Medicago truncatula: one gene and its partner. The protein of the gene in region 2 binds, or shares a complex with, the protein of the main gene of each other region. Links are inferred from orthologs where the notes say so. Each region holds a gene or a part of one and is shown on either strand. Other genes may lie near its edges.

Evidence for each region.
Region 1: light-mediated development protein DET1 (region 2) and constitutive photomorphogenesis protein 10 share a complex: the UniProt entries of both Arabidopsis thaliana proteins name them as parts of the CDD complex. The link is inferred for Medicago truncatula from reciprocal best matches to the Arabidopsis thaliana genes DET1 and FUS9.

Annotation. Positions count from the first base shown.
Region 1 is NC_053049.1:39,598,075-39,610,635, reverse strand, and holds constitutive photomorphogenesis protein 10, read left to right. Parts: upstream 1-7,801; 5' UTR 7,802-7,991; coding exon 7,992-8,178; intron 8,179-8,256; coding exon 8,257-8,330; intron 8,331-10,746; coding exon 10,747-10,894; intron 10,895-11,483; coding exon 11,484-11,581; 3' UTR 11,582-11,834; downstream 11,835-12,561. Other genes in the region: glucan endo-1,3-beta-glucosidase 4, read left to right, coding at 2,557-2,584, 2,689-2,833; uncharacterized protein, read left to right, coding at 5,144-5,422, 5,842-5,925; probable acyl-activating enzyme 18, peroxisomal, read left to right, coding at 12,540-12,561. UniProt on the Arabidopsis thaliana protein: Component of light signal transduction machinery. Involved in repression of photomorphogenesis in darkness by participating in the CDD complex, a complex probably required to regulate the activity of ubiquitin conjugating enzymes (E2s).
Region 2 is NC_053046.1:1,905,677-1,918,460, reverse strand, and holds the start of light-mediated development protein DET1, read right to left. Parts: upstream 6,420-12,784; 5' UTR 6,189-6,419; intron 6,031-6,188; 5' UTR 5,992-6,030; coding exon 5,911-5,991; intron 4,873-5,910; coding exon 4,445-4,872; intron 4,347-4,444; coding exon 4,118-4,346; intron 3,976-4,117; coding exon 3,802-3,975; intron 2,695-3,801; coding exon 2,626-2,694; intron 2,486-2,625; coding exon 2,429-2,485; intron 1,830-2,428; coding exon 1,743-1,829; intron 1,643-1,742; coding exon 1,478-1,642; intron 1,345-1,477; coding exon 1,249-1,344; intron 988-1,248; exon of another isoform or gene 892-987; intron 595-891; coding exon 495-594; intron 1-494. Other genes in the region: abhydrolase domain-containing protein C22H12.03, read right to left, coding at 10,426-10,494. UniProt on the Arabidopsis thaliana protein: Component of light signal transduction machinery. Involved in repression of photomorphogenesis in darkness by participating in the CDD complex, a complex probably required to regulate the activity of ubiquitin conjugating enzymes (E2s).

The DNA of each region.
Region 1 (12,561 bases), on a different chromosome or scaffold from region 2:
AATTTAAAGGGACCATTGGCGAACCTTTGTTACTTACTTACTATAGCCGGTCACTATCTTTTATGTTTTGTTTTGAGGCTTAATTACTGGATTTAATTTCATCTTCTCTCTTTACATCTCTTCTCTCTGGTTCATGTCAAAGTCTAGTCTATGCTGGTGAACAAACCTCAAACCTCAACTATCCACCTTCAATCTGTCCATTGTCGATTCGTTTCCTAATTACTCGGATTACCCTTTGTGATTATGAACACCGTCCTATTTTGCCCATTCCTTTATACACGTCACTCTTAGTGAATGGGTCAATCCTCTTCATTTGTGTGAGTGTTTCTAATTAGATTTGTCTCTAGGAGAGTACTAGTAATCTGTTGGGCTATTTTGTCATCAACAACAACAAACAACCACAATGTCACATTTGTCCCTTTAACTCCCTTCACCCAAAAGCTTCAAATTTCAACCACAACTACAAAAACTACAATCACCTCAGATATCCCCTCTGATTCAATTTTTGTTTGGAGGCTTTAAAAAGGCAAACAACATCAAATAATAATACTAAACTTTGTGGTTTGTAAAGATGAAAATGAAATATGAAAGAAGAGAGAGGATTGGGGGAAGGGAATGGAGTGGTGGAGCCAAAAATGACGTTGGTGAAGAAACAATTGAAGCATATAAGAGGGGATAGAGAAGAGTAAGAGAGTTAATTTGATTACAGTAAAAAAAAATGACCGGCTATAATAAGTCACTTTGTGAGGTTCACCAATGGTCCCTTTAAATTGAGGTCCATATTAGGGTCTCCCGTATTTTAGACTTTAAAAATTATCTACTTGCTGTCTGCACCATCCGATTTTGATCCAACAATCACTAATGTGCTGCCTATCTGAATGCGTGACCTCAACAAATCCAAATCCCGTGTTATTTCTTTAGATAGTCACATATATGTAACTGCGTCCGTTTTAGATTGAACATGCCATCGGCTAACTATCCAAAAAGCTTACGCTGTTGGGTGAAAACACTGCCTCATGGAGCACTGTTTGGGCTTGAAGTGTAGGCAATGCTCAAGCCCACCCAATCTTGTACTAAAATTTAACATTTTTACTGATAATGGGGGCAATGATAATTGAACTCTAGAATATATGATTATAGCGACACTGATGCCATCTCATGGACCACTTCGTTGAATTATAATGACCCTATTTCAAGTATAGGTGCTGTTTTGTTTACTAGTATTAGCTTTACTCGTTTAGGATATTCAAATACATGGAAGGTACTTCCCTCATTTTTCCATTCATTATATTATATAATAAACATTTATAGCTGAATCTAGTTTCATGGATTGATAATTTTGAACCGGAGTTATAATATCAGTGTGTCACTCTTCAATGATCTATTAACTTGTCTGGAAGAAATTGCCCAGATCCTAGCTGGTTGCGTCAGTATTAGTATTAATGTTGTTTGGATGCGTCTCATGCTTTCTTGCTGATTCTATAGGTCTATCTCCCCGTAAATCTGTATTAGAGTATGTTTGGATGGAGGATTTTGAAAGGAAGGGGACGGCAGGACTTATTTTCTTTTCTAAGTCAAGGAAGCTGTAAAATGCTTCTAAAAATAAATTAAGCTGTAAAATGCTTCTAAAATAAACGCTTCTTTTCTTTTCTCACTGTACGGCTCAGTATTCAGTCCAGTTTCACGAGGCATTTTTTTAGATTTGGGAATGTTGTAGTATTTTTGCGATCCTGATGCGCATGGCCTAGGCATGAAACTTATTGAAACTTCACATAACTATGCTATTAGAAATTTCTTCTTATGGCATCCTGGAACTGATTGCATTATTCTGAAACTATTGGTGGGGGGTGAATTCTGTCTTATTAAAATTTCATGACTTTATTAAGTTAAAACTGTGTCTATTTCTCTTTTCAAAGACATTGAATAATTTGCAAATATTTTTGAAGAGAGACATGAAATTTATCATGACAAGATAACTGGGTTCTACAGTTGACGACTTTGATAAATGGTCTATGGTGGATTAGCTCATAAAATACCATTGAAGGCTAATGTTTCCCTTTGTAAGTAGAAGCTCACGGTCATTCTTATTCTAATGACTAATGAGTGAGATTGTGACCTGATGAGTGCTGGTTCGACAAACACAAGGGTAAACAAATGAGTTGAATTTTGATACACTCACGTTTATTTTCCCTTATTTTTTTTCAAACTAGTACTTATCAGGTCACCATCTTACTCATTATGATGTGGAAGACCTTGTGCTTTTACATGAGTCGTCTTTGGAGTTTCAAGTGATTTTCAAGTATTTACCCACTGTGGACCACCTTTGTTGACATGACAAGATATACTCTAAAAATTTGTCATAAAAAGATTCACTCCAATGGTAGCCGACTTTTTCAACAATGTATCTTATAAATTTGTGCGAACAAGTAAATGATATTTTAAGTCTCTATGTTCCATTCAAAGTTTATAATCACTTTTTTTTTAGGACAAGTTTATAATTACTTAAATGTTTCCTTGCGAGCATTTAACCATTTAATACTGCGTAATTTGTTTCAGGTTATGGATCCTGTAGATTCCCGGGAAGGTATACATCTTATCTCAATCTATACACATCCATGATTAATTAAATTTAGAACTAATTGTTTCTCTTTAAAATTCTTATCTGATCATGGGTTATTTTGATATCAGCTCTGGCGCTGGAGGAGTGAGTTTACCTCCCACGGCACTTGGACCTTCTTCAAGTCCCTTTGGAGCAAGTATGAACCTGCAAGTGTCTACCCTTCAGTATATGATTTCTGCTATTGGTGTATTTTTTGCTCTGATGATTCTTTGACCAAAAGGTTTATGCACTTCAGATTGCAATTCAATTATAATGTAGTTTTCATCGATTTTGATTCTTACTTTCTTTTGTCCATTTTATTCTTCATAGCTATGTCACATCTTGTGCATTTGAGGTCTTGTAATTTATCTCTTTTATGATAGATAGTTGCTTAATTTAGTGGTTTAGCTCTAGGAGAAAAACTGAACTGAATCTAGAAGAAATTATTGCCACTGTTATCTCTTTTACTTCATTTTGAGTTGTCTGGGGAAAAAAATCTCTATCCATCGGGTTCTAAAGGCTATATGTGGATTGATTGAAAGATGAAATTGAACAGGTGAAACTATACCAACTTTTTCATTTATGTTGTTTAAAATAAAATAGAACAAAATGAATCATAAAAATGTATTTTCATCACCTTCCAATTAATATTTTTTTATTTCTCTCTTTGTACTATAAAAATATCTAAATTATAGAATGACAATTTTCATTTCATTTTACTTCATTGTGACGTTACATAAGGTTGGTTGATTTGATGTATATTAATTAAAGAAGAGTGCGCAAGACCAACCAACTTTTAATGGCTTACCATTAGAAAGTGCAGTGAATGGTTTGCAACTTGTGAAAGCGATGATGAACCAACATTTTTTTTAGAGTAGTTTCATTTTCTTGCCTGTTTTGGGTGAATGAATGGTTCGCCTCTTCTAAGATCTGTTTAATTTTTTTATTTATTTGAATAACTAGGGTTTGTTTAATTGTCAATTATAAATATCAACCACCATGATATATGATAAATAAGTTTAAATGAGTTAAGATGTTCAACTCTTTGGAAGAGTTTTCTAGGAAGGATGCCCATATAGCTGTTCATACTTTTATAGCAAGGGTTACTGCATTTTTTTTGCATGTTACTACTATAATGTGTGAATAAAAAGGATAGAACTTCTTGACCAAAAAAAAAAGAGGATAGAACTTTATCTAAAATAACGAACTTCAATTTAGAGGATAAAGTAAATATTATCAATTTTTCTAATAAAAAGAAAAGTCAAGAAACAATTTTTAACTTTTTAAGAAATGAAATGTACAATTTTCAATATAAAGTTAAAGTTTCTAGTTTCTACCTTTATTGTGCCTTAGAGGTGTTTGCGAGTGTTGAGTTTTATAAAAAAAGGGTAAGATTAAGTCTATACTTTGATATTTTAAAAAAATTAAAAGAACTACATAAATATGTATTTTTTGGTTAAAAGAACTACATAAATATATAATATCACCTTGTTTTGGTTGGATAGGTGGATGAGTGATGTCCCACTTTGTGAGACATTTCATAGCTTATACGATTTATCTGAAAATAAATTATCTACTGTGGCATAAATGTTTCATTGGGGGTGGGATGTGGGTGGGGGAAGCTTGGAAGTGGCGGAGGAAGTTTTGGGTGTAGGAGGAGGAGCTGTTAGAAGAGTGTAGACTTTTATTGTTAACAGCTATGCTGCAGGTTGATTCTGCTGATGCTTGGAGGTGGACCCCTGACATAGCCAATGGTTACACGGCTAGTGGTGCTTACCGCTTGCTCACAGATACGACGCATATCAATTACCAGATACTGCTGAGGCTTTTATGGAGGAAGGATGTGCCTTTGAAGGTTTCAGTGTTCACTTGGCGTTTGTTTCGCAATCGATTGCCTTCAAAATCGAATCTATTCCGTAGAGGCTCGATATTGTGTTAGTGGTTGCGGTCTTCATGAATTCGAATGCCATTTAATCGCATCTTGTGCTTTTTTCGGATATCTTTGGCAGCTTGTTAGGAACTGCTTTGTGTTCACTCAGCGGATCCATCCCATATTTTGGATCACTTCATTCTTCGACTTCTCTACAGGGTACGGTAAATCTAGACGCTCTTTCATGCATTTGATTTGGTTTGCTACAACTTGGGTAATTTGGAAGGAATGCTAGAATTTTCCGAGGCACTCAGGGTTCTCATATGCAACTTGTGGAGAGTGTCAAACAACTTTCCTTTATTTCATTGTTGTTGAAAGTTGGTTTGTATCTTGTGAGTGTCTTTTGTGATACACCTTGTGCTTGTACCTGAAAGATGACTCTCTGTTCAATATATCATTTTGATTTCTTTTGTTCATTTAATTTCTTTTTAAAATAATTTTAGATTGATATACAAGTTAATTATTTTATTACAAACCAAAAAAAAGTTAATTATTTTATTTAAAATAAAATTAAAGTAATCTTTGTACCAAAAAAAAACAATCTTGAAAGTTTTATAGTTGTTGACAACAGCTAAATAGGAAGGGTGAAATAGTTAGCGATTGTGATCAGGAAGATGGAGGGAGGAGGATCGTCAAATGGAAGGAAAGGGTATGCGTGGGCAGTATCTGCTGGATTGAACGCCGCTCTTGCAGCCATCTTCGCTAAGTTCACCTTTCACATCTTGATTAAGTACGGGTTCGTGGTATTCTTCAATGTAACCATGTGGTGTTGTTATGTCAACAGTCTCAAAGCTCTCTCTTCTCTTCAAGCTACTGTCACCAATTTCGCTACCAATTTTATCTCTTCTGGTTTAGCCGGTTTCTTCTTCTTTCATGAACATCTCTCTTTCCAGGTAGTTACTATTTTTTTTATTTTTTTTTTCCTTTCAATTTCAATCTTTACATATTAATTACCCTATTTGTAACTAAAAATTGAAATGGTACCAATTTCATGATTATGACCCTTAATTCTGTTTTTATATCACACTCAGTTTATTTATCCATTACGTTACATGTAACGTGTGTTCCAACTGCTTAATGTGGGATCGAGATAAACCAAGTATCATGATTTGCTATTACGGGTACATATGAGAGAGAGGATCCAATTTATAGTTTTGCTGTACTAAAAATCAGAAAAACTATTGGTTGGTTCTAAGGGAAAAATAAAATTAGGGCTCAAACAAAGTCTAAAGAATCTGTGGTTGGTTATTTGCCTTTTATGTTTTCAGTTTATTCATTCACACATTTTTTGATGCAAAAAAATGTTTCACAGTGGTTTGCAGGTGCCTCACTCATAATAGTTGGTGTAATAATACTTAGCAACTCAAGTATTGAGAAGAAGGTTAGCGCTGATTAGAAGTTGCACTTGAGTATGTTACCTTTCATGCTTGCTTGTTACCGGCCAAAGCTAGCATCCGCAACTGCGTGAACATGAACTTGTAACATCAGGAATGATATAGTTTGATCTTCTGCTGAGCAGTTCACCACTTCACCTCACATGAAACCTGCTGAACTAGTCGCTTCTTGCCTTTTGCCAAATTAACAACTCTCTTATTGTTTTATCCATTCATTTATGTGGTTCTGTGGTTTAATGTAGTTGGTTTGAGATGAATGCCAATATTTATTTACGTGGTTCTCTTATTTATTGTCTCTTTACTGTTATGATTTTATGACATTGGTCTGTTCATGTGTTCTCTTTGGTTATTTTCTCTGATTTGAATTGGACAGCTTTGGCGCATTTTTTTAGTACAACTACAAACAGCTTTGGTACATTTAGAGTAGCTTTGTTATGGGAAATTTTTCATCAAAAGTGTTTCTATTTGGCTGGAATTTGACTTATGGATTTGGAATGTAAAATACCAAGAATCAAAATGGATGCAGTAGATGTTAATCTGGTGGTTAAATCCGTTGTATTGCGGAGACTGCGTATGCCGGAGGAATTGGAGGATCCTGAAGGGGTTCTTCCCCTTGATCCTTTGTTATGGCAACAAGTTCCTTCAATCTTTGGCACTTAGTGCTGCGGAATTGGTTGTGACATAAAGGTGACGAGGTCATGGGATTTCCTTATTTCTTCTTCATTGTGGGAGCAAAGTACAAGAATGCAGAAGTAGTGGTGAGGGAACTGGGGAGGCCCATGTGGAGAGTTGAGTCTTGGTACTTATGGTTGCAACCCTGATGATCTAGGGAGGCAGAAGCGGAAAGACTTGAGTTTTATCAAAGGGTTTGTAAGATTTATTAGATAACCTTAGTTCCAAACTGTTTGATATGTAAGGAGGAAATTTCTATTGCAAAAATCTGAGATTATAAGTTGTCAAATCTGTTGGTTATATAAAATTTGGGGAGGTAAAGCCATCACAATGGAAACGCCAATATTCAAGGTCTTTTAACGAAAAAGTTCATGGGATTAATAATTTACACTGCTAGTGCATAAGTATGTGAGATTAATTTTTATGTACTAAAAGTGTGCTCCCTCCGTCCCAAATTATAAGAAAAAAAATCACAAAAAACTAAAACATAAGAATTTAGAGTATAGTTTTGTGTTTTCTTTGAAAAAAGTTTTACAGGAAGATGTAAAAACAATTTTCATTGACTATTGGTTATGGAAAAAATAAAAGAGAGAGAAAATTTAATGTAATTTTATGAGAATAAACAAAAGTTTTTCTTGGAAAAGAGATTTTTTAGAAAAACAAGATTAAATAGGATAAAAGTTTGTCTTTTTTACTTATATTTTGGGACAAAGAAAATGAGTTTTTTTTCCTTATATTTATAAATTAGTTTTTAAAGTATTCTAGAATAAAAACTACGAATTATAGCTTCAAGTACAATCAATTCTGGTGGTAGAATCAATTCTACTCGACAACAATCAAACATGTCAGAATTAAATCTACACATTCAGAATCAATTTTAATCCCTATGGAAGTAGAACAAAACATATTATTTTGAAATGTATTATTAACCTTATATCCTTCACCCTAAAACAATAAAAAAATTACGAGTCATTTAATAAAAAAACATGCCTCAAACTATAAGTTATTTTATAATATCAATAAAACATTAATGATTTTTTTTCTCTCTCTATAATACTTACTATTTACTATTGAAGACTCTGTCTTCTTTCAATTTTTAAATTTCTCTTTTAAATACTATTAATAAATAATAATTTTGTAATATTACTCGTAATTTCTCTTTCTTAAAAAAAATTAAATACATTTAAAATTGTCAAAACCGTTATGAATTTATCCCAAATATTACTACTTCCGGTGTATTCTTGTTGAAAGTGTTGATGGTGAAAAATGTCTTAGTAACAACAACTTGAATGAGTTTGATATTGATTCTTAATGAGAGAAAAACATTGATTACTGAAGAAGAATAGATGAGCTAAACGAAAATTGAATTGGGAAATAGGGTTTAGGAGGTGAAGTGATGATACCAGGTGGAGGAGGAAGAAGTTCAACATCATCATGGGCACCGACAACCTCAGTGTCTGCTTCTGGAAAGAGAATTCAAAGAGAAATGGTTGAACTCAACAACGACCCTCCTCCTCATTGTTCTGCTGGTCCCAAGGGTGATAATCTCTATCACTGGATCGCCACCATTATTGGCACCCCAGGTTCACCATCTTCACCATTCAGCTTAGGTTGTTTGGGTTCAGATTGAATTTATCATCAATTTGATTTTTTGTTTGTAGGAACACCTTACCAAGGTGGCATATTCTTCCTTGACATAATATTTCCTACTGACTATCCCTTCAAGCCTCCCCAGGTACTAATTGGTTCTTTTTCTAGAATTGCTGTTTGCTTTGGCATGTGGTGGAAGAATGTTAGCATGAAATGAAACTTTATTTTTATATAGATTTAATCTTTATACGTTGTCGGTATAAAATTATTTTACTTGTGCATCTAATAATGTGATTGAAAATATGAGTTGTCGTATTCATTAATTAACGCAACAACACATTATTGGATGCATGTGTAAAGTAACTTTACACTGTCAGTGTATAAAAATTAAAATCTTTTTATATAATGAATGCGTTAAGTTCCTTGAAGTTAATGCTTGTTACTGATTGACATAAAAGTTGTAATTCTATATACATTTAGTTTGGTAAGGCGATGGGCTTGTCTTAGGCTTATATTGTGCACCACATTGAGTAAAGCTAGAGAATGAATTGATACTTAAGCCATAGGATTCTCCCACCCAATAGGCTTGTCCTTTGGGATGGACTCTTCTCTAGAGCTCAAGTCATACAAACACTTGATAGTTTTATTGAGAGCTTGCCGTGTAGGATAGGTAAGCAAAATAGGAACTAACAGGAAAATGGCTACCTATACCAAAAGAGTCAAGAATGAATGTAATCATGGGTGGTTAGCCAGAATGCTCTCTCAACTCATGGTTAGTCTTTTGGGATGGTTTTACTCGTGGGCTCAAGTCATAATTCTTAAAGGCAAGACCAGAGTAACATCCTTCTCGGGGAAGCCAGATTAATGAAGTGAACTATTCTACAGGTATGTATCACCCCTTCTATGGATGGGGATACCAAGCATAATTCTTGGAAAATGCATAAAATTGTTTTTGTAATCCTTCTCTTTTTCATAAAGGGATCCGTGTTGTTAATCCTAGTGGTGGGGAGCAGTCGACCCCTAAACCGCTAAAGTGGGATAGTAGATAGAGGGAAAGCCTCTATTGTGAAGACTAGAAAGTAGTTTAGGAAGGCTTCACTTTGGGAAGTTTATGGTTGACATGATACCAGGGTTGAGTAGAAACACAGTAGAATTAAATGAGGAGCAGAGAACAGAGGAGAACACGGTAGTCGTCACCACTACCATAAAACCTAGTAGCCATTTCTGGAAGAAAACAAAGAAGGTAAGGGAGCAAGTGTGTCTTCGGATCTTCACAAAACGGAGGTAGGAGAAAGTGAGTTTCACTTTCGCATGGTGCAGAACGGCCGAAGCTGCTGACCAAGAATACTCAGGGAAAATGACCAAAAAGCCGAATAAATCTAGTGATCAGGGGGTGAAAGGGGCATTTAGCATCAAAGGTGGCTGTTGTGGCAGTCAAACACAATTTTCAGTCGAAATAGCTACCCTTGTATAATGCCAATGTGACATACCAGCTGTAAGTGTCGCAGCTGCGCTGCTACAATTCCATTATCACGTGTGATCACCTGCTATTGACAACATAGATAGGGATAGTGTCGTAGCTGATATTACAAGATATTTAGTCACTGGGTGGTCTGTTATTGTGTTTAACAAGTTTGAACTATTGAATCTTACATCCTCTTATTTGAGTCCATTCTCCCACTTTCGAAGCAATAAACAATATATCATTTTGTATGCATTTAACTAATATTGAGTGAAAAAAAAGGTTATTCACTGGCTTGAATGCACATATTTTTTTGCTTCTGATTTGATATAGGGAAAGTTCACTGGCTAACTGTTTTGTTCAAGTTCATGTCATTTGAAGGAGCTAACTGGGTCATTGGGAACTTTAAGTTGTATTTCAAGTAGAATTTAATAAATTGGTTACTTGTATTTGATAGAGCTGGAAATGAGAGTTTAGGTGTTGATGACGTGTCTAGTCATCCACACCGTGTACCCAAAATATGGAGAGTGTATGTTAGGAAAAATAGAAAGAAAGAAGAGAATGATGAGCTGGCAGAAAAGGGGTGTGATGCGTGACTCACTTCTGTTGTATTGGGATTGGGGTAGTGGAGGAAGGGGTCAGAAAAAGAATTCTGTTAGGAGCAGAGATTTGTGATATTCTCTGAGTCGGTGAGCATAGCTCTCAGTTGTATCAGGAAGTTTGCTTCCTTTGCTATTTTTCCTTTCTATGATTAATGAAACCCTCTCCATTTTATCTTTTCAATACTATTTGATGCTGTTACTGTGATTGATAGTGTTAGTACCTATCAGTATTTGTATAAAATGCTTGTTTTTTTTTTCCTTCTGAGAAAATTGCTGTTACCTTCCCATTATGTAAATGTTCAAGTACAGTCCCTTTATTTTCAAAGCCTATAAACTTCCTGTAACATGTCTTCTCTCAACTTTTCATAAACTTCTCTGTTCGAAGAGTTTGGTATAGGTTTAAAAAATAAAAAGGCAATATGCAGACAACAAATAATTTATGTGGAGGTAAAAGTAATTTAATTGTTGTGTATTGCCTTGTTAAATTGAACTAGCAGGTAGTCTTCAGAACTCGCATTTACCACTGCAATGTAGAACCTGATGGCCGTGTTAGTATGGGAATATTGAAGGATGGTTGGAGTCCGGCACTAACAATTACTAAGGTGCTACTTGCTGTTAGATCACTTTTGACAAATCCTGACCCTTGTAAGTTTGTCTATTCTCTTCTTGAATGCTACTACCTTTGTCCTTATATCTAATATCCTTTTAGTTAATGCATGAAAATTAAGAAAAATATTTCTATATTAAATTTGTCAACAATGTACAATCTCTTTTCCGAATTATCAATCAATATTAAGAGAGATAAATGATTAGTCTTTTAGTTTCCCCATTTAATTAAGGGTATGTATTTTTGTGAAAGATCACTAATGTATCTTGTAATTTGAAAATGATCCTATAAAAGGGAAAAGAAAAATTTACAAAGGAGTCTTACATATAGGGATGAAGGTTTACATGGTACTTGTATACTTAGAGCCTTTTGCTTCTGAATGCAAGAAAAGAGGAAACTATTGTATTATTACCTCCATGTCTTGAAAAAGCAGCATGATTTAATAGGACACTCCGCTAATGATTATGTCTTTTAACACCGGATTCAACTAATTTTCAGTATTAGTAATACCAATATTTACATTTTGTTTGTATAGAAAGTAATAACAACACTTAAAATCAGCCGATACTCCAAGTAGCTTCTTAAAAAAAATGATCTTAGAATGTAAAGTTGTTATTGTTGTTGCAGACAATGCTGTTGTTCCTGTCATTGCTCACTTATATTTGGGAGACAGAGCAAAACATGATGATATTGCTGCAGAATGGACTATCCGATTCGCCAAGTGAATAATATGATATAAGAGTCGTTTGTTTGCCTAGCAATTTCACATTCTTTCCAATATGTACTTTATTGTCAGATGAATTTCACTCTGTTGAAAAGGGTTTGTTGTATAGTTGGTCTTCTGCATCGTGTATATCATGTTCCAATATTTATGTGAATGAAAATGATGGTTCATGTTCATGCACTTGTAACAAGCTTATCTCCTGCCTACAAGCTGTGTTATAATTCAAAGGCTTAAGTGTACTTTTGACCCTTTAACTTTCTCAATGTTGCAATTTTGGCCCCCTAATAAAAAAAATGACAAATTTAGTGTCCTATGTTTTAGCCCTGGACCGTCAATATATTCCTAGGGGCTCGAATGCCCTCTAGAAAGGCTTTGGTACCCTACAATTGGCTCCTAGAAGCTAGTTGAGGCGGCGCCTCTGGGAGGGAATCGAATTCGTAATGATCCAAGGAAAGGAAATCGAAACCTGTTTCGGTAATCGATTTCCCTTCACCAATTCCAAAAAAGAAAAGTTCTCATATGAGTGCACCATTAAAATAAATTATGATATGTGTTTAAACTTATAAAATATTATTGGATCCACCATAAACTATATTATATGTCCTTAAGCTATTTACACAAAAATCTACCGTTTAAATTAATACAAATTTTCCTATTTTTGAACACAATTTTAATATAAAATAAAACTAAAATAATCATATCACTACATTTCAAAATATTAACAATCATTGAACTGAATATGATTATAATTATCACAATTTTGATTTTCACATTTGTAAAATTAAATTTTGAGTTGACCAACTTGAAGGACAGAGCAACCAACCACGTAGTAGCTAGCCACCATGCTTTGTTATCTATCACATCACCCATTCACCAACCACCTCATCATCTACACCTGCAACTACCACCGTATTCATGTTTGCTTAGAATTTTGAAGTTGAAAAAATTGAAAGAAAGAAATGGGAAAAAAGAGTGTAATGG
Region 2 (12,784 bases):
ATAGAACATTTGATAAGCATCAACCTAGGTGTCTGCGCGTGTCCGGCACACTATTCTAGCAGGAAGAGCATGCCTAAAGAGTAAAGTGTGCATGATAAGCATTGATGAGAAAATTAACAGTTTCACACAAATCTATTGTTCGTTATCCAAATTGTGTAATTGCAAATATATATATAAATTTAATTTTTCTCATTAAGCTGATGTACTTCACACTATTGTGCTTCCTCCACGTTAGAAAAGTATGATCCTGCCCGAGAGTTAGATCTATGCATGTTTAATAAATCCAAGTCTTTTTATGCACTGCAATCATATTCTCAAATTCGAAAAAAATAAATAAATTGTATATTTTTTCTGATTATTTTATTTTTGATATCTTTATCTCATGGAGCCAAACAAATCCTGAATGGAGTACTTAATCTAAAGTGGACTACATTATCTTGTCATTGTCATGTTTAGAACATAATTAGCTTGAACAACAGGGGAAAAATGTGCACCTGGTTTGATCTTAAACTTGAGTGTGTGTGGAGGATTCCTTAAAATGAACTTGATTGGATGGTCAGTTGATTGCCTATGCCGATCAGCTGCAGAAATAAGCTGCAAAGATGCGAAGCATTTAAAAATTATAACCACAGTAAGCAAAAAAATCTATGGTTTATAAAGATTACAAAGGGGACTACTCTTCCGGCTATTAATCTTTGGAATTGAATGAAGAAAATCAATTAAAACCTTATCCCTTTTCTGCACTGAGTAACTTGAAGTTAAGCAAACTAGAGAAAGCCATTTTTCAACTGTAATTAAAACTCGACATCTACGCTTCCAGACACCCCTTTTTTCCCATTAAAACTGAAATTTCTACCAGTAACCAACCTCCCGAACCTTGGCTTCCATTACCATATCAATCCAATATTCCAGTTTTCAGTATCATTGATACAAAGGTTGCCACCACCTCCGCCAAAAGAAACTCAGTTTGATTTTCTTTCCAGCCATCTAAAAACCACAACACCAAAGTCTGTCATGATAACTCAAGCAATAAGCACAATGGCCTGTCTCTAAAGGATGTCCAATTGGCTTCCTCATCCCCAGTCCCACCAACAATTTAATAAGACTGATCTAATCTAATAGCTATGACTCCATTTTAAGCAGTTTATGCCTAACTTTGCGCCAAATGATTTTTATGTTTTAGAAAGAAAAAAAAAACTCTGATCTTTGCAAAGAAACTAGACAACTAAACTAGCACGTGGAGCAAACCTTATCATCAAACCGGAAAAGAGACTGGTCAAAGTAAGGAGAAGGACTCTGTGACTGACAGCTAAAAGGCAAAGAGGCGAGCATCTTCTTCACAAACTGCAAAACAACAAACAAAATTGTACACAACACATTAGCATACAATGTACATAGCCTTTTAATTTTTCTTATATCATGGAAAGGAAGGAGGGAGGATGCAATTACAATGTTACAACTACCAACAATACTTCACCTGTGAAGAATTGCTTGCCTTATCCTTTATGCTCCGTAGCTGTTCTAGTGCATGAATATTATTTGAATGAGATGATACGAAATTCATATACATTGAATTCCTTGATGTTACATGAAAGTGGTCACCAAACTGCTCAAACAACATATAAAGCTCGTCTGCTGAATTCTGCAGAATGTAAAGACGGATCAGGAGGGGAAAAAACATAAAGACACTGCAATACAGAAAACCCATGAAAATGAAAACATAGGATGAAAAACAAATTTACCTGATAAAAAGATACAATTTCAGTTGTAGCCATGTTATATACAGCAACAAAAGCTGGATGGTGATCAGCATTTCTTGATACCTGAGGCTTCAAAACATGAATGTCAATACGTCTGTCATACTACTACCTCAATAGAGCACATATTGATTCCATGCAAGTTAAGAGGTTGAGCTCTGTCCACTTGTTACTAGCTAAATCAAATCATTAGGAAAAAAAATCATTCTAGAACCTCCACTTAACAGTTGTAAGCCTTTAAGAGCTGTCCCTAACATGGTATGAGATATCTTGACCTAGTCATCAAAAGTTCAACCGTTGTTGCCACATTCGGATAATTGAATCTCAATAACCAGTTCATGAAACTGTGTTCTGAGAGGACTTGTAAGAAGATAACAGCTCAAGATTTAAGAAGAGTTAAAACTTGGCATTAATTGTTTTGGGTAAGTTAGGATAGGGATAGCTATTTAGAAAAGAACCTCCTACAGAGAGGCTAGAGGTCTACTACAAGGAAACCACTAGAAACTTCAGTTATAAGCAAAGAATCAAATATTATAATGTTCCTATTTAATATTTGGCCTTGGACCCTCTCTCAGGTTCTTGTACGTAATTTTCATTTAATGTGCTTAGGGTCTGTAAATGTTATCATTAGAACAAATAAACAAATAAAAACACGTACAAAGAGAACTTACCCCTCCATCTACGCTGCCAAACTTAATTAGCAAGTGGTGTCGGTCCAAGAATTGCACCTGCCCAGGAATTGAATAGATGATGCTGGTTAAATTTCTCATTGTATATATATATCAAATCAATAGTGAGATGGTCTTGTTTGATGATAAAGCGGTTATAACGAACCAGTTAAGATGCATAAAATGTCTTGATGACCTACCTTCCAAATAATCAGATCAACGTAATCTTGAAAGTGGAAGTAAAACTTGTTCCGAAGTCTTTGGATCCTCTGGTAAATCGGGAAAAAACAGTATTAAAACGATGAATTTACACACTGAAAAGATACAACTTATAAGTAAAAAGTTAGACAGCTATATAATACTACAGGCATCCAAAAATCAAACACAACTACAATTCAGAAACACAAACTAAAGACTGCAAAAAATGCAAAGCAGTAATTAGGAGAAATGGCAAGGGTAAACAATTGACAACGTACCAACGTGTAATAATAACACTCAGTTACAACCACCAAACTATTTTTCACTAGGCAGGGTTAAGTGTAATGATCGATCGATGCATAAAGTCTATATGACAGTATTAGGTCTAGATCAGATCATTTGCCTCTATATTGGCTAATACACTTCATACCAAAAACCAATATTGTATTCTGTATAAAACGAGATGCTTCTAAGGGTCTGCCATTTCAGATTTTATAATGTCTATTTTTCCATACACTTATTCATGTTTAGGAATGTCCTGATAATATGATAAAAAGAACAATGTCCCAATAATGATAGACTATGTGGGGAGAAAAATAAGGGAAATTATAGAAAAGGAAATCTTGTTAACAATATTTCTAGTTTAAGAATAACTAAGCATGCACATGGTTTATTCAGTTAAGCAATGATCATTCAATTCAACAACCACCCTTTGAACATGATTAACTGCTTAATCGTTGATTATTATTCCTAAATTGGAAGCATCTCTAGTGAGAACTCTTTTTAATAATTCCTTCTTTTATAGTATTGCAAAAATGTGTGTGTGCAACAGTTGCAAAGCTGGACAACAAGTCCACGCATTCAAACACATTTATGCTTGTGGAGAAAGAAATATGAATGTACAACACCAAACAATGTCCTATCCATAAGCAGTGACAGTATAAGACAGGAGAAGATCTCAAAACAATTTGCTGTGAAGAACAATAGGAAAGAAACTGAAGCTTTCACCGTGTCAGAGATAAAAGAAAAGAAAAAGAAACTAATAGTATTTGGGAATACGCTATGTGCCTATATCCTTCCAAGATAAACTTCCTGAAACATGTTAAGCATAGAAACAGAGCCAAATAAAACATGGAAAAAGAAGATTGTGCAATAAGAAGTGGATTTATAAAACTAACCAAGGTATCATCTGTTTCTTCATTCCATATTCCCTGGAATATGAATGAAAGCAATCGCTGCTTTATACCACTTAAAAAAGAATTCCCCATATTAGGTTGACCTTGATGCATGTGATTTTCTACATTGTTCTCTGGTACCTGGTGCTGTTTATTTTTGTCAGACAATGACATGCCCTGTCAGCAAATGATTGTCTTTCATGAGTTTAGTCCTTTAATGACATTGTAGATTTTTTTGTCGAAAAGGCCCAACAACTCATCTAATGGAATACTGAACAAGATGCTTGTAGAATAAAGCTAAAGCCAAAAGCTTGCCAACCTGAGCATTTGAATTGAGAAAAAGTTCGTCGTCTTCACGGCAGAATTCCCCAATAGCACGAACATCAACAAGATTACCAGAATCCCTAATTTGAAGAATGTGTATAGTTTGATACCGAAGTGATACAATTGCCAATAGATCATCATACAAGAAGACACCCATATTATGGGTCAAATTAACAAAGTCATTACTGAAGACTTTCTTATCCAGGATCTCTCCATCTTCCATTCTAAATATAATAAGTGAGAATAATCAGAATATGATCTGTCCTTCGATTTTGAAGATCTCAAAGAAAAATACAAAATATAAAGGAAGATGAGAAAGCACCTCAAAAGGTGAAAAGTTATCTTTTCTATTGAAGGAACACCCTGGACAGCTCCGCCAACAGCAGGTGCATCATGAATTTGGGCCGTAGAAGTGGCAAATAGTCCAAATTGATTACTCTCCATGTAAAGAAAGAAATCTTTACATATGAGTTCATTGCAAGAAGCAAGTGGTACGCAATATAATTGGGTGAAAAAACTGTCGAATCTTCTTGCTTTTGACGGCAAATCATGTTGATCACAATCTTCATCATTGCATGAAAATGAAAGCCATCTAGGCCTATAAACAATCAACTCTTGATGATTTCTGCTGAAACTTATAAGGTATTGACCATCCTCTGTGAATTTACGAAATGAATGGTCTGGGCACTCAACCTCGTATATTGTGTAACTTGGTACCAAATTTTCATAGAATCGCCGAGCATGATGAACCTGCAAGCATTAAATTACACCTGCAAAAATTATATTCAATTCAGGTTCCTTCAACAAAGGAACAATACAACAATTTTATAAATTTATCATATGTTAGTTTTTTCATTCGACTGTTTACAAGCAAATTTCCCAAACTAGCACACCATATATAGTATACTTTTGTAATTTCAACATTACAGTCATCAATTTATGCCCGACACTATTTAATACACCCTCCGGTTACTATTATAAACAAAAAAAAAATCACTTTTTATGTTCATTGAATAACTGATGTATGTGCTCTGTAATATTGACCAGATACACAAGTTATTCAATGAACCTAAAAAGTGGGTGTTTGCTTATAATATTGATCAGAAGGTGTAAACCTGTCTGCATATCTAAAAAATACAGTAAAGCAAATAACATAACTCCACTTACCCTTATTTTTCTACCTCTATGTTCTCTATTGGATACTCACACTCTACAATCACAACCCCTGACCACCAAACAAAAAACTAAAAAATCTAAGGGCCTATTTAAGGTGACTTATTTGAGCTTATTTACTAGCATAAACATATGTGAGACTGTTTTGAAGAGCTTACAAAACAGCTTATGACATGTGCATAAGTTGTTTTCAGCTTATTTCCATAAATTCTCCAGTATAACTTATAAGAATAACTTACAGTTTCTATTAAAAAAAAAATACTTTATTCTATCTTTTTTTTTTTTTTGGCTTTTGCACCGGTTTCTAACCCACAAAAGGTGGGTGACTAATTCGGCTCGTGCGCATGCGCACTGGCCAAGCGTTGTTCCCCCTGGGAATCGAACCCGGTATTCCCCGGGTACATCCTTGGAAGGAGCTCCTTGCCACTGTAGCCCAAACAGTTGATCTGAAGCTATTTGTCAAAACAGGGTCTAATTGTTGATCTGAAGTGCTTACAAACTCTCATAAACATTGTAAACATTCTTAATCATTTGTTTTCATTAATTATTCCACACCTTAGCTATTGAAAAAATAAATAATTAAATAGAATCATATACTAGTTAAGAAGTGATTACACTGGTGCCAGGAGCAGGAGTGCAAATTTGACGATCGAAAATCCTAGCCGCAATATTGCTGCTTCTGCTTCTGTAGTACATTACATTAAACCTTGTCTCAAATTCAAATAAACCTTTACCCTGAAAATGAAGAAAAACGAAATTATATTTTATTTTTCTGGAACTCAGAAGCTACAAAGCACAACACACTGGACACTGATAATAATTTGAGAAATTAACGTAAAATTTTTGAGAAATTAAGGTAAAAAAAAATGAGAAATTGGTTGCAGAGAGATTACCGGCGGTGGCGACGGTGTTGACGGGAAGAGAAGTGCGGTGACCGGAAAGAATTGAGATTTGAAGAAATTAATAGAAAGAATGGAGTTTGGATATGACACGTCACCACTTCTTTTCAAGTTTCACTCACCACAAACAAAACAAAACAAGTACTTCATATTTCCACCCACCAACTTACTACTGTAGTTGCTATCAAACACCCCCCAACTACTATTATTGTTTCTTTTTACCTTTTTTATGCCTTTATATCTGGATAAGATGAGACCACCAAATCATATCTCAATTAATAGTTTGATCCATATCCTTTTATTAATGTTAGAAGACAAATGAAATGGCATGGCATTCTTTCAAAAAAAACAAATCAAATGGCATGGCATGGTAATAAATATCATAAAGTTAGTTTATGTAAATTTAGCTTAATTGGTAGAGATATTACATAATATATAGGATAGGTGTTGGAGTCGGGTTCAACTTCTGACACTAAACTTTTCCACATTTAAAATATATATGTGTGCTTGGCTGGTAAAAAAAAAACAAAAAATATGTATGAACTTTAGCCATTAAACTATTTAACCAAAAAAAAACATGAACTCATATTCGTTGATGGTTATTTATAAAATGATTTTGAGGCATAAACTTTGATTTCAATTACAGTGATTAAAATTATGATGTTCAATTAAGCCAATGATTTTGTTGAATGTGCTTACTTTACTCTTAATAAGTCGTAAAGTTTAATTCATTTTGTCTTAATTTCTTAACAAATGTGAAGTTTGTTAATTATGAATATATATATATGAGGACATATTAAATGAGAGGGTTTTTATTGTAAGAGGTGAGAGGACTAAATTATAACCATTAGATCAATCTTAATGGTTGATATGACATTTGGGAACCCATGGTCTCATATTTCTGAATCTTTCTCCACTTCTCTTATTTCCGGTGCTCCTAGTTCTCCTTCCTCATCACGTCATAACTCAAAGTGGAGGTTCTACATCCATAAAATTAAGCTTTGGGGAAATTTTTGAGAAATTCAATAGAAGATGGTGCATCGAAATTTAAAAAAATCTATTCTTTCGAACCTTCACATTTCTATCTTCATTTCAGATGCAGTATTCCCAGCAACAACTTTATGATTCACACTTAATTTATTTATGGTTAAGAGATGAATGGTGTAAAAAAATCAATTACCGCAATTTCTCTTTAGTGGGTTTGATTCTGATGGTGTAATTCTTTGTTCATAAAAAATTAGAGTTTTTTTTTCCAGTAAACAAAAATTAGATTTGATAAAAAAAATGCCTTGGTGTTTGATTTTAATGGTGATTTAATATGGGAAGGTGGAATTCTTCAACAACAAAAAAACCCAGAAGGTGGAAAGTGAAACAAATGGGAAGATGAATAGTGCTTATGAGAAAGACGAGTGAATTTGAAGTGTGTGCATATTTATGAGATATCACGTGAAGTTCTATACTAAGTGATTTAATCTCAGCCCTTTATTTTAATCCAATAGCTAATATTTAATACTTTCATCCTCTCATTATAAGACTCTCATTTGAAACATCCCCTATATATATATATATAGAGAAAGAGTCAGGATCCGTTAACTCCATTGACACCAAATCTCAACCGTCTATTTTATTTAATCAAAGGCTCATAATAATTTCTAAACTAGCTCATCCTTTCTCTTGTGTACACGATTATCGCACCTATTTTTCCTGTACGCACGGATTGCAGCAATCAAGTCTCTTGCATATTTAATTATTATTTTATCATGGTTATGCTTCTTAGTTGAATGGAAATATCATAAGCTTCCAATTATATGCCAAAGGCTGGTTTCTGGATTCACGACAGCAATTCTAATACCACGTTCATATACAGATTGAAAATTAAACCAAAAAAGCCCCAAATTAAAATTAGGGTTTATAATCCATATATGTTGAGATTTCTATTTTATGAAGATTCGCAATTTGCAATTTCCTTAGGATGACTCCCTTCTCTAATTGCTATCGTTTTCATTACCTTCCTCTCCGGTTGCAATCCATACATTGAATTAAATAAGAGAGAATAGAGACGCAGACAAGAAATCATACTAATGGGTGTGGTATATGGTAACAATTTGTCTAAAGAGAAGAGTATCACCGGTGTTTTCAAGTACAATTTTTCAACGATTTAATAAAATAATATTATGTAATTGGGGGAAAGGATACACACCATATTAAAAAATGCGAGCCTTTGATCAAATAAAATAGACGGTTGAGATTTGGTGTCAACGAATCCTGACTCATATATATATATATATATATATGGGTGTATTAAAATGAGAGAAGTGATTATTGTGAGAGGGTGAAAGGAGTAAATATAGACCTTTAGATCTAAATGAATGGTGTAGATTAAAAGATCCACTTAAAATATCAAGTGACCTGTTAATTACTTCTCCCACGCACGTACATCCAATCCCATGGAAGAAAGAAGGAAATACACGCTTCATATTCCTCCATAGCAGTTTTCCTGAAAGCAATTGACGATGGAACAAGAAAGTTGATATAATTAATGGAAATTTTGGAGATGAAAATTGTTTTAAGATCAAACAAACCCGTTTAAGAAAGAGAAAAATAAACAAACCCATCTATGTATCTTATTTTTTTCTTTCGTTTTCTTTGTCTTACAAAAAAGAATTAAGCTGAATACGTTAACCTAGCAAAACCAGAAAATTAAAATTGGCTTCAAAAAGGTCTTTAACTATGATCACATCTTAGCATAAAAATAACTATAATAAGATATGTAGGTTCGACTAATTAAAAAATCAGGCTTTCTTATTACTAAGTTAATTTAAATCTAATCTGGAATTGAAAACAATAAGTGGTCCTTAATTGACAAATGTTCTTTTTATTATCCAATTATCCCAGTTTGTTGTGAGGAAATACAGGGGAGAATCAGCGAGAATGAACAATAGCGTTTGAGAGAGAGAAAGCAAAGGAAGAAGGAGACGCGTTGAAACATAAAAAAAAGGCACGTGAAACTTTTAAGTGGATCTTTTAATCTGCACTATTCATTTAGATCTAAAGGTCTATATTTACTCCTCTCACTCTCACAATAACCAACCACTCCTCTCATTTGATACATCCCAATATATATACAGACACTACAAACGACGAATTAGTTCGGTGCTAAATACAGATCTTAAAACTCTGAAAATGTCATTAGAGAAAAATAGGTGTAAATTTATTTGTGCGTCCTTTTTGAATAAGATCGTCTCGATTTTGACTTGAAGCATCTTTCCCTCAAATTAAGCTTTCTCGTATTTACTCACGAGACTATTACTCTTCTTATATTCTCTTTCTTATAAACTTTGATTGCTTAAGTATTTTAGTTTTGGTACAAAATTCTGGGTGTTTTAAAAACTCAAGATATATTTGGTCTTCGTTTTTCATGTACAATTAAGGAATTGCTTTAACATATGTTGAATGAATTGAATATAACCGTACAAGAAATTAGATAAAGGGAAACAAAATTGGAGAATTAGAACGAATTGAATATGATACTCTTGAAACATTCAAATTCAACTTCAAATGGGGAAAAAATTAAATTTCTGGGGTTTGTTATACCATCCTCGCCATTCCACAATACAGACTTGCCCCAAAAAGGGAACAAATTGCCAACATTTCTCTTCAAAAAATTATTGCATGGAAGACTCTTACAGATATCAATATGCAGAAAGAAGACAATACATTCAGGAAATTAAAAAGCAGGGACAGATTTCACCCATTTCAATCTTATTAGAAAGATCGACATACAACTCGTTCATGATGCCTGCACACAGAACAACTCCTAAATGTTGGGTTAGGTTAATGATGTTAAAACTTAAAATACTTATGTCTGCATACTAAACAATTCCGAAAGGTTAGATTCATTATGTTCAAATAATCAACACTATGAATGCATACTGAACAATTCCTAAAGGCTGGGCTTGTGTGTACTTGGAAAGAATGCGCTGCTCAAAAAAACCAAGGACATGATGCACCAACTACTTGACTTGTGTTTGAGAGATTAAATTGATAGAGTACTCTCAAAATATGATGCACAAGAAGAGAGCAAAAAAATAATAGTATATACAGAAGCTATAACATAACAGGAGAAAAAACGAGAAAATGGAAGGAAAAAATAATTAACATTTATGATTATATATCAAGCTGTGATGGCAATTGTACCCAGAACAAAATAGAAATTACATAATTAGTAAAGTCACGTCCTGCTTCCTTGGAAAGAGGATGACAGTATCCTGAAGAGTCCGTCTGGGTTATCAGCATGTACCTGTTATAGACAAAAGTAAATCCTATTTTAAATAATGTCACAAGAAAGCTCTGGAAAACACGATTCATCCTCATTTCATCTTAAATATGTATCCACATGAAACAAATTCCACAGAAAGAATCTAACTACTAACTGAATCACTACAATAAAATCAACATTCATCAGCATGCAAGTTTCCCTCATACATGCATACCCTCCTCAGTCAAATCAGGAGAGAGAATTTGCACCAATATGTGTGTGTGCACAAAAGACATAGCTAAAGCTTTTAAGTCTTTATGCTTCATTACTTAGGGACCATGTTGAAATTGGACCTAACCCATCCGTACAAAACCAGCTTGTAAGGTGTGTGTCCTCTTTATAAACTCTTATCAAGAGTCGTATCTATCCAATATGAGACTTGAGTTTTTCCCAATACACCCCCTCACACCTAGCATTGGTGCATGACCTGATCGATAGGCTCTGATATCATGTTGAAATAGGGTCTAGCTCATCCTTACAAAACCACCGGCCTATAAGGTAAGGAGTGCCTCCTCTTATCCAGAGTCCTATCTATCCTTTTTTTTTTCTAAGACAAAATTGCAAAATATATTAATAACTAAGAACCAGAAGAGAACAAAGAATGTTTGAAGAGAAAACTACTAATCTACTTCTGGTAGTGTTGCTACTTCTGGTAGTGTCACTAACCTAAAATCCTAAAACCAAACATAACATAGAAAATATTAACAAAACTAGCTATATCTTATTAATCACTAAACCCTACCAACAATTTGAAATTAAAAAACCAAAACGTACGAGTCGAGTATAGTAAGAATGAGATCAACAAGCCATCGACTTCTTGAATTCCTCAAAGTTAACGTTTCTGTCACAGTCAGCATTTACGTTGCTTACCATTCTCTGACAATCATTGTGGGAGCACTTCTCACCAAGTTTATTAAGAATGATGTGTAGTTCATTTGGAGAGATGAGACCGTCCTTGTCGAGGTTGTAAAGGTCGAAAGCATCGTGTAGCTCATCGTCTTTTCCGGCAGCAACAGCATAAGTGTAGTGGAAATCGGTGAATTCTTTGAGATCAATGTAACCGTCGCCGTTCTGATCAATTTGTTCCATCATGCGTTTTACTTCACCAGATGTCATTTTGGATCCATGCATTGAAAGCATTTCTTCCAGCTCTGAGACAGAGATCTTTCTGTCGTCGTTCTTGTCCAACATGTTGAAGATGTTACACACCTTATCTTCCACGACGTAGTAGTGTTTACTAGAAAGCGAAGGAGGGGAAGAAATGCTTTCATATTCTTGAAACCAAAACGGCAATTACGCCAAGAACGACTAGGTGCGTAACATCTTCAACAAGTTCGACAAGAACGACGACGGAAAGATCTCTGTCTCAGAGCTGGAAGAAATGCTTTCAACGCTTGGATCCAAAACGACATCTAATGAAGTAAAACGCATGATGGAACAAATTGATCAGAACGGCGACAGTTACATTGATCTCAAAGAATTCACTGAATTTCAATGGGATGATGTTGTTGTTGCTGCTGTCGGAAAAGACGACGAGCTTCGTGATGCTTTTGACCTTTACGACCTCGACAAGGACGGTCTCATCTCTCCAAAAGAACTGCACATTTTTCTTAATAAACTTCGAGAGAAGTGCTCCCTTAGTGACTGCCAGAGAATGATAAGCAATGATGATGTAGACGGTGGTGGAAACGTTAACTTTGAGGAGTTCAACAAGATGACGGCTCGTTGATCTCATCTCTACTATACTCAACTTGCATGTTTTCCTTTTTTAATTTTAAACTGTTGTTAGGGATTAGCGATTAAGAAGATATCGCTAGTTTTGTTAATATCTTCTTTGATATTTTTTATGTTATGTTTGGTTTTAGGATTTTAGGTTGGTGACTTCCGATGTATTAGCTCTACCAGGAGATGTAGATTAGCAGTTTTCTTTTCAAACATTCTCTTTTCTCTTTTGGTTAGTGATTAATATATTTTGCAATTTTCTATTCAAAAAAAAAAATGGATAGATAGGACTCTTGATGAGAATTTATAAAGAGGAGGCCCTCCTCACCTTACAAGCCGGTTTTGTAAGGATGAGTTAGGCCCAATTTCAACATGGTACCAGAGTCTATCGATCCAATGTGGGACTTGAGTTTTTCCCAATAGACCATCATACAGTTTCTTGAGAGTCAATGTTTGTCCGGAGCTTTTCAACATTAAACCAAATAGATCTGGCCTAGGATTAACCAATCATGAAAGGAACTAATAAACTAATTATGCCAATATACAACCA